2 linked regions of the Solanum lycopersicum genome follow. The protein of the gene in region 2 binds, or shares a complex with, the protein of the main gene of each other region. Links are inferred from orthologs where the notes say so. Each region holds a gene or a part of one and is shown on either strand. Other genes may lie near its edges.

Evidence for each region.
Region 1: COP9 signalosome complex subunit 7 (region 2) and COP9 signalosome complex subunit 8 share a complex: the UniProt entries of both Arabidopsis thaliana proteins name them as parts of the CSN complex. The link is inferred for Solanum lycopersicum from reciprocal best matches to the Arabidopsis thaliana genes FUS5 and COP9.

Annotation. Positions count from the first base shown.
Region 1 is NC_090800.1:89,068,584-89,072,595, forward strand, and holds the start of COP9 signalosome complex subunit 8, read left to right. Parts: upstream 1-1,212; 5' UTR 1,213-1,351; coding exon 1,352-1,435; intron 1,436-1,545; coding exon 1,546-1,625; intron 1,626-1,728; coding exon 1,729-1,910; intron 1,911-4,012. UniProt on the Arabidopsis thaliana protein: Component of the COP9 signalosome complex (CSN), a complex involved in various cellular and developmental processes such as photomorphogenesis and auxin and jasmonate responses.
Region 2 is NC_090800.1:79,720,409-79,724,709, forward strand, and holds the start of COP9 signalosome complex subunit 7, read left to right. Parts: upstream 1-1,496; 5' UTR 1,497-1,708; coding exon 1,709-1,867; intron 1,868-3,317; coding exon 3,318-3,393; intron 3,394-4,301. UniProt on the Arabidopsis thaliana protein: Component of the COP9 signalosome complex (CSN), a complex involved in various cellular and developmental processes such as photomorphogenesis and auxin and jasmonate responses.

The sequences.
Region 1 (4,012 bases), about 9.3 Mb from region 2:
CATACGAGGTATGTGATTTACAATATAGGCTCGTGCAATATTAACATTTTAATATATATATTAATTTATAGTGCCTTCTACGTAGGAAATCATAATACAATCATGGAGAAAAGACATAAAGTTGTCACTGAATTTGTCACGTATTTTTATAAAGACCCTTGAACTTTGAAAGTGTCCTATCTCCCAACAAAACTTTTTAATATCTTTGTAAATGAGCCATTTTGACCCATTTCCTTGTTTGGGTTGTGACCACGCACATAAATCTGTGCTACAATGCTTTCACTGTCATTAACCAGCTTAAAAGTAACACATGTCGCTTTATTTCTTTATTATTAATTATTAATTTGTTTACCTTATCTTTCCCAAATTTAAACTCAAAATAGCCATTGATAGCCACTCTTTATGATTTCATTTTTTTTTCTCTAAAGCAAGATCAGATACACTCTTTTTGACAAATACATAATCTTCTCCTAAAGCAATAATGTAGGAATTCTTTCTCTTTAAATTTTCAATAAAATGGTTTTTTTGGGTGTATCACTAAAAGCATCAGATTCAATTTCATTACTAAAAACAATGAAGAATAAAAGTTTGAGAGTCCTCTCAAATGTTTAACTGAAAATACACTACTCAGGAGGACAATATAATTAAAAAAAGGCCGACATTAAAATTATTTATCAATCTTCAACAAAATTGTATTTCGAAAAAATGACGTACCAATTCAAAATACTTGATTGGAGAAATGATGGCGAGTTGAGGTCCAAGCTTCTCCTCTGCAGCTTTCTTTGCCTTAACTCTAAGTTTTTCCAACTGCTTTCTCCTCTCTCATATGCTGCCTGAGCTCTGTCTTTCCTCTTGTTCTCGAGTTCCTTGAAAGAAAAACAAGAAAATCTGAAAGAATTGGAAAGCTAACTAATAACCAAGGAAAAAAAACATTTTTCTACTTTATAAAAAAATTAGATTGGGCTAAACGGATCAAAAAAAATGAGCATCACGCGCAGTAATCAAGACAAGGAAATGAGTCAAAATGATTCATTTACAAAGATATTAAAATTTTTTATAGAGTGATATAACACTTTCAAAGATAAATTATCTTTATAAAAATATAAAACGAACTTCAGTAATAACTTTATGTTTTTTCTCTACACGTAAACAAGAAACAAGAAACATGTGTCGTGAAAAATGTTAGTATTTTTGTTATTTAGTATCCGGATATGAAAATCACCTTTAAGTAGCCCAAAGGCCCAATAACCAAAAGCCGAAACTATTTAATACATTGTAATTCCGATCACCCAGCGGGGAGTCGGTGACGGAGTAGAAGGAGAATCGACGACGAAAAAAACAGTGCGCTTCAATGGATACTTCTCAACTCAACGAAGCCTTGGCGTCCAGCTTCTACGACAAGATTGCTGATATTTGTGATGATCTCATGCTCCAGGCAATTTCTCCCTATTTTTTTCTCTTTATTTATCGTCTTTCTAGTGTAGTTCTTTCAGTCGATTTAAGAGTGAAACCTAATGTTTCTATTCGCTTTATTTGTATTCATAGGGTGCCGCTGAGGGAATCGAATTTCAAGATGAATGGCCGTACGCGATTCACCTTCTAGGTCATATTTACAGCAATGACATGTAATCTCTTATTTGCAACTTTACTTTGGAATTTTAGGGTTTTAAGTTGGATGATGTTAGGGAATTGATTTAGAATTACATTGTTATTGTTTTACTTTTGCAGTAATAGTGCGCGATTTCTGTGGAAGAAGATACCTGCAGCTGTAAAAGAAGCCCGACCAGAGGTGGTGGCTGTTTGGAGGATTGGGCAGAAACTTTGGACAAGGGACTATGTCGGTGTACATGAGGCTATTCGTGGATTCAGCTGGAGTCCTGAGATTCAGCCCTTTGTGGCTTCCTTTGCAGGCAAGTTTGTTTATCTTTATTCTCCATAGAACAAACGGTAGAGACTTAGTTGATCATCCTTTTTTGTTTAAAATTTGATTGGCTTCATTTAATTCTAGTCGTCTAATCAGTTCTGGTTAGAAGCTTTACATACTGTACTGTATAAGTCCTAGCAACAGCCCAAGATTTGTTTTTGCTTGTCCAATCCATAGGATTATAGGGTTCTGAATGATGAAGATGAAAGAACCCATTGAGTAGGTAAAACGTTGAATATGTGAACAACTAAGACATAGCATCTCTAAGTTATAGTGGTGCAAGAGGAGTGTCACCTCTCGTTTTGAAATAAAAAGGGAGAAGTTAAAGTGAGTGTTGAGATTTTTTACCATTGTCAAAAAATAAAAGTGTTGAGATTATATTTCGAAGGTTCTATCTAGTAAATTTATACTATAGTTGGCATTTGGAAGGAATTAAAATTCTTTTCTGTGCCTGTCAAAAGCATAGAAGGTTTTGCTGCTACAACTAAGAATTGTGACTTATAAGAAGTGCCACTTTGCCAAAGGAGTCTAGCCTCTCTTCTGGGTTAAGATAGAATGTGGATCAAGTAAAGGATTAACAACAAAATTGCCATTGTTGTGAATTAGTAGAATCTATGGATCTGCACAAATCACATAGTTGGGCTGCAGTCAAAGATTAGCTATTGGAGTTTGATAATGGCTTGAGACTACAATGATGTTCTCTGATCTTATCTTGAAGTCTAGTGCCCACTTTCAGGTAATCATCTTAAGTGGGCTGGTAGAATTGTTCTCTACAGGTCAATACATCTTGGTACAACATCAAAAAATTTGAAAATGATATGTTTTGTTAGCAAGGCCATTGGCTGTTTGGTATGAAATAGTCAGTATAAGCAATTATTTAGTATGGGTTTACTTAGGATGTATTTACTGGCGTGATCCCCTGAAAGGAGATCATAATGGTGATGCCTTTCCCAATCACAACGTGTCAATTTCGTTCCTGGTTGATGTCATGATTGTTGGATTGTTGGTTGCAGTATCATCTCCATGCTTGAATCTTGATATGTATGTACTTATTGACCTAGATAATTGTGGATAATGCTCCTATTATGTCTCCCCATCCTATTTTTCTTCGTTGTTGATTTTGCTGTGTGTTCTTTTTTTGTCAATTACTCCTTATATGAGTTGGACGAGCTTAATTGGTTCTTTGTTTTCCGCATGCGCAACTTTGACAAGGCGTTTTATTTACTAAAACAAGGACTGTATACTCTTTCTTTGTACACCATTTACTGATGGTGAATTAGTTGGAGTCTTGGGTTGTTTTAATTATTGGGTAACTCTCCAGATTCATTGAATTTATTATATACTTGACTTTGGGAAGATAGCTATTGAGGAAAAATATCTTTCCACATATAAAGGATAATTTGGCATGTAACTTTCTACTAATAAGACACACAGTAATACTAATTCCATCATATTGCTTTCATCCCACCTATATAAAAAACAAAACTATACTACTACATTTTGGTGAGAGGTCAAGGATTAAGTGATAAACTGATGTAGACATATACCAAAAAGATTAAGTGATTACTCAATCTATGTTGAAATGTTCTGTCTGGAGGATTGGTTATGGACCTGTGGTAGACAAAGCAGCATAAATGAAGTTGTTTTCAGACCATGCTGATGGAGAGGAGCGCAACAGAATTTTCAGCATGCTTAGTTCCGACTCTAGGATCTTCTGTTGTGGTTAGAAGTAAATTAGTTTAGTACTATTTTTGTGTTTTGTAATTCATGCAGCATTATATTTTTGTGACGTCAGGTGAAACTATACTTCACCAAATTATTATTTTCTTCTGCCATATTAATTGGGGCTGTATTTGTAAGAAAATAAAATGATTGTTAGCACATTATTGTAGGGGGTGGTGGTTACATATATCCTTAATTTAAGTTGGTTATTTGTTTAAATATTAGACCACATTGCTGGGGAAATGTCCGAATAGTTGCTAGCAATTTTTTAAGAAAAGCTTTTACACAAATCTGTGAAGGGAGCCATATAATGTAAACATAAACTTGAAGAAGTTCTTGTGCCCCATTGTTTTCTTTGTGGTTTTT
Region 2 (4,301 bases):
TTAAAACATTATTTATTTGACTATTTTATCTATATTTAAAGTAATAATTTGTGCTTAATTAGTTAATAGCAAGTTGACTATAATTTACATTTACAGATTTATTATAAAATAATACTCGCTTCAAAATTCCTTTCACATAAAAAAATCCCTATTTTGGGATCGACCCCTACACGGAAGCAATAGCGAAGTCAATTCGGGTAGGCGCACGATCCTTATATCATAACAAACGTTTTATAGGCTCCCGAACCCTCGATTCGGTTGTTTTCCAAGAATGTTGAGCCACATATGTAAGCCATGTATCTGGGAGGAACAACAATAAAAGAAAGGTTTCAGTTTTTGTCTTGCAACTATTTTCAAAATATATATATAACCCAAAAGAATATTCATTCATTTCTTTCTTCTCCGTCGACCACGACGATTGAAACGACGCGAAAAATCTAGACCCCGTAAAGGAGAAGGGTCGGGGGGGGGGGATTTGGGAAAGTCGGGTCGGCCGGGTGTCTTTATTCAAGCAATGGTACAGAAGTAGAACGAAATAGAGTGAGAGGTCGGGGGCATGGAAAAGAGTCAAATCGATCAGGCTCGACGATCGGGAGAAGCAAAACGAAATCAGGATTTGAACGAAAAAAAAGCAAGGTTGTGTATACCATGACCGATCACCATCGACAAAAGAAGAATATTTCTAAATCACTTCGTGTCAGCGGGACCTTCAAGCATCCGAAATATGCCACGATTGAAAATGACATAACATACATGATTAAAAACATAAAATTAAATCATAAAAGTTTGAGGAAAGATGATACAAGTTATTCATTATTATCAAGGTGTCAAGTGAAAAACAATAATATCTATGATCGAGAAAGATTGAAAGAAGTGATTGTCTCACATTTGCTAAGAGCTCTTTGATGAATTTTTCGTAAAATGCAACCCCTTACTTGTTAAGTAACTCTCTATCTAATTGTATAAATACAAAATACTATTTTATTGATAAGTTATCATATAATAATGGTATATTCAAATTTAAATACATTGACATGAAATCAACCTAAAGCATACGACAAAGCCATTAAGATTAATAGTATGTCAATGTCAAAAATCTTTCTTCAGTATACATGATTTGATTAACATGACATTCACTCTACGTTATCATATTGAATATATTATTATTGAAATTTATTAAAATTTAATATACATATAAAATAATTAGTATATATTTCTTATAATGATCTTATTTTCTTTTTTGTATATTTTAAAAAGAATGATATTTTTCCTTTTCTGGCAACATTTTAACGATATGACATGTTTAAGAATATAAAATTAAAAAGTATTTTGATATACTTGACATAACTTTAATTTAGTTACATAAAATTAAAATATATTATTCCTTTTTTGAAATTTTATTTTAAATTATTATTATTTTTTTAAACGGAGGGAGTAATTATTATTGTAAAATATTGAAAGAAGCTTAAAAGTAAATCAAAAGTATAAAAGGACCCGCGATGGGCTCAAAGCATCATACCAAATCAGACAAGCGCCCTTCTTCTCCGTGGGACTCCAAAATTTTACAGTTAAAAAAGCCCTCTTCTCTATTTGTTTTTGTGATAAATCTTTGAATCGGAAATCAGAAACCCTAATAATTTTCTTTGCTTTTGTCTATAAATGTTATTGAACCCCTGATTACTTGTGATTATTAATTATTCATAGAGAGATGGATATCGAACAAAAGCAAGCGGAGCACATCGACTTCTTTGTGAAACAAGCATCAGCACTCAAGGGTTCTGCCCTTACCACTGTTATTGTTGAAGCCACTTCGCATCCATCACTCTTTGCTTTTTCAGAGATTCTTTCTGTTCCCAGTGTTCTCGAGGTTTCCATTCATTCATATTACTATTTCTACACTTGTTCTGATTTTGTTTGAAGTTTTTTTTTTTTTTTTATGATAATTGGGTTAGTAGGTGTTGCGTTAATTTGTTTTTTTGTAATTTTGTGTGTTTTTTCCTATACTGGGTTTCTAGGTATTTACCCTGAACATTGTGTCGTGGTTATGTACTTATGCTATTGATTGGGCAATATCTGGAATATGATATCATTCTGGGTATCTGTTTGTTGAGTCTTTCGAAAACAGCCTCTCTACCTTCTCAAAGGTAGGGATAAGGTCTGCGCGTACACTCTACCCTACCTGGACATCAAACACCACTTGTGAGATTACATTTGGTTTGTTGTTTTTGTTGTTGATGGAATTTCCTGATAATTTGATTAGTGGGTTTTCCTCTCATATTGGAAGTGCCTGCGTTAGGCGTAGTAATTGGTCTTGTGGTACGAGGAAAAATGTTGGGGATGTCTTAAGAAAGGAAAGCTTTGAGTAAACTGGGATGGATTAATGAAAACAATATTTTGCCGATGAGCTACAAACTCTTGCTCATTTATATGGCTGTATGTTAAATATTGAATAGTCTATGTAGATGTTTTAGATCATGGATAAATAGATGAAAAGTTAATATTTTATCTTATGATCAAGTACCAGATGATTTTCAAAACACAAAAGGAATGAATATCAGGAAACACAACTAAAATGGATCAAGATACTACAATTTGATTGATTTTAAAAGAGGTAATAGAAGCGTAGGGGATACAGTATCATTAATGAGGAAATAACTTGGGTTCATCCTATCAATTCAATCAACTTCAGAGCTCAAAACCCTAAGCATATCGAAATGGGCTTAGTTGCACGGACTCTTCACTTTGATGCCGCATCCGTGTCGGATTCACCAAAATACACTACTTTTGGCGAATCCGACATGCACTATTGACAGTTTGGAAGAGTCCGAGCTACATAGGAAATGGGTTTTATACTCGGTTTTGATTCTCTTTAGAGTTCCTTTATGACAATTAGGTAGACATCTGGGAATAAAGGGCAAAAGAAGTGCTTTTGATCAGTCAGGTTAGACCATATCTGAAGTGGGCACTTTATTGTGGTATTTCTTGACTATAAATTGCACCTGTGATTCAACGTTGGTTGTTGAATCATAAGATTCAGGTTAGATTTATGCATCACAGACTTAGATTATAGTTGATTCTGCTGGAACATAAATCTAATTGTGAGATTTGAATCTCAAACTGTAAGTTTTTGAAAAATATGGGCATAGAAAACATTTGTTTCAATGCAGAGGATTATTGGGAGCACCTGAAAATTGTACCTTGATATACTTTTTGCAAGTTGTGTAGTTAACACCATATTGCCATGTTGCTGTATATATACTTTGGGATCCCTTTCATATTTGCGGTTAATTGTTTTTTTTTGTTGGACCTATATGCAGCTTGGAGGAACTGAGAATTCAGTATACCTTGATTTGCTTCGTTTGTTTGCTCATGGAACATGGAGTGACTACAAAAGTAAGCGTACATTTTTTTTTATATCTGATTATTTTAGAAACATTTTTTTTGTTGGGTAGGCTGGGTAGCTGATTGGATCCGCTTTTCCAGGTTGGAGATTTCAACAATGTTCTTTTTATTGCCATTATGTCAATTTATCTGCAATACTTCATTTACCATTCTTTCATATTAAATGCCTTAAATTTTATAATATTGTGAACTTGTACCCTATCATTTCGAGGTATTTCTTTGAGATAGAATATGCTTTTGGTCATATGTATAAGAACTTGAAGATTCTTCTAATTGTTAATAGAGCGTTAGTGCAAATGAGGGTATCAATATTAAGTTATTAACTTCTCAAGTTTTGTTTCTCCGTAAATGAGTTCATTGTTGGCTGGGAAGTTAATAAGGACATGGTTTAGCCTCAGTTGTTCGGACTTTATGCGGTATAGTTCTTCTTGAACTGGTTTGATTCTAAATTTTCTTACAAAATCAATCAAATTATTTGGTTGATGTGGATTTCTTGATCGTAGCAAGACTGGAATAGAACTTTTGTTCCACATAGGGGCCATAGTATCAAGTAATAGTAGCGTATAGAATTACATTCTTCAAAACCATTTTCTCATCTATTTTGCTTATTAATTTATTTCTTTATTTCTTATTGGCTCAGGTATATAAGACATAACACTACAAATATGATATAATTTTTATTCCTTCTCAGTAATCACTTTTATTCACAATTGCCTTTTTATAAAGTAATATCACATTCCAAGTTTAAGTTATGATAATCTTTTTGCTAGTAAGAATTTGGTTATTTCAACACCTTGATACGATTGATATTTTGAGTAGAAGTGCTAATGAAAAAAAGTCTTCTTTTTTTCTTCTCTTAACTTAAGAATTAAGTAAAATCAATGAAATTGAACTGCATA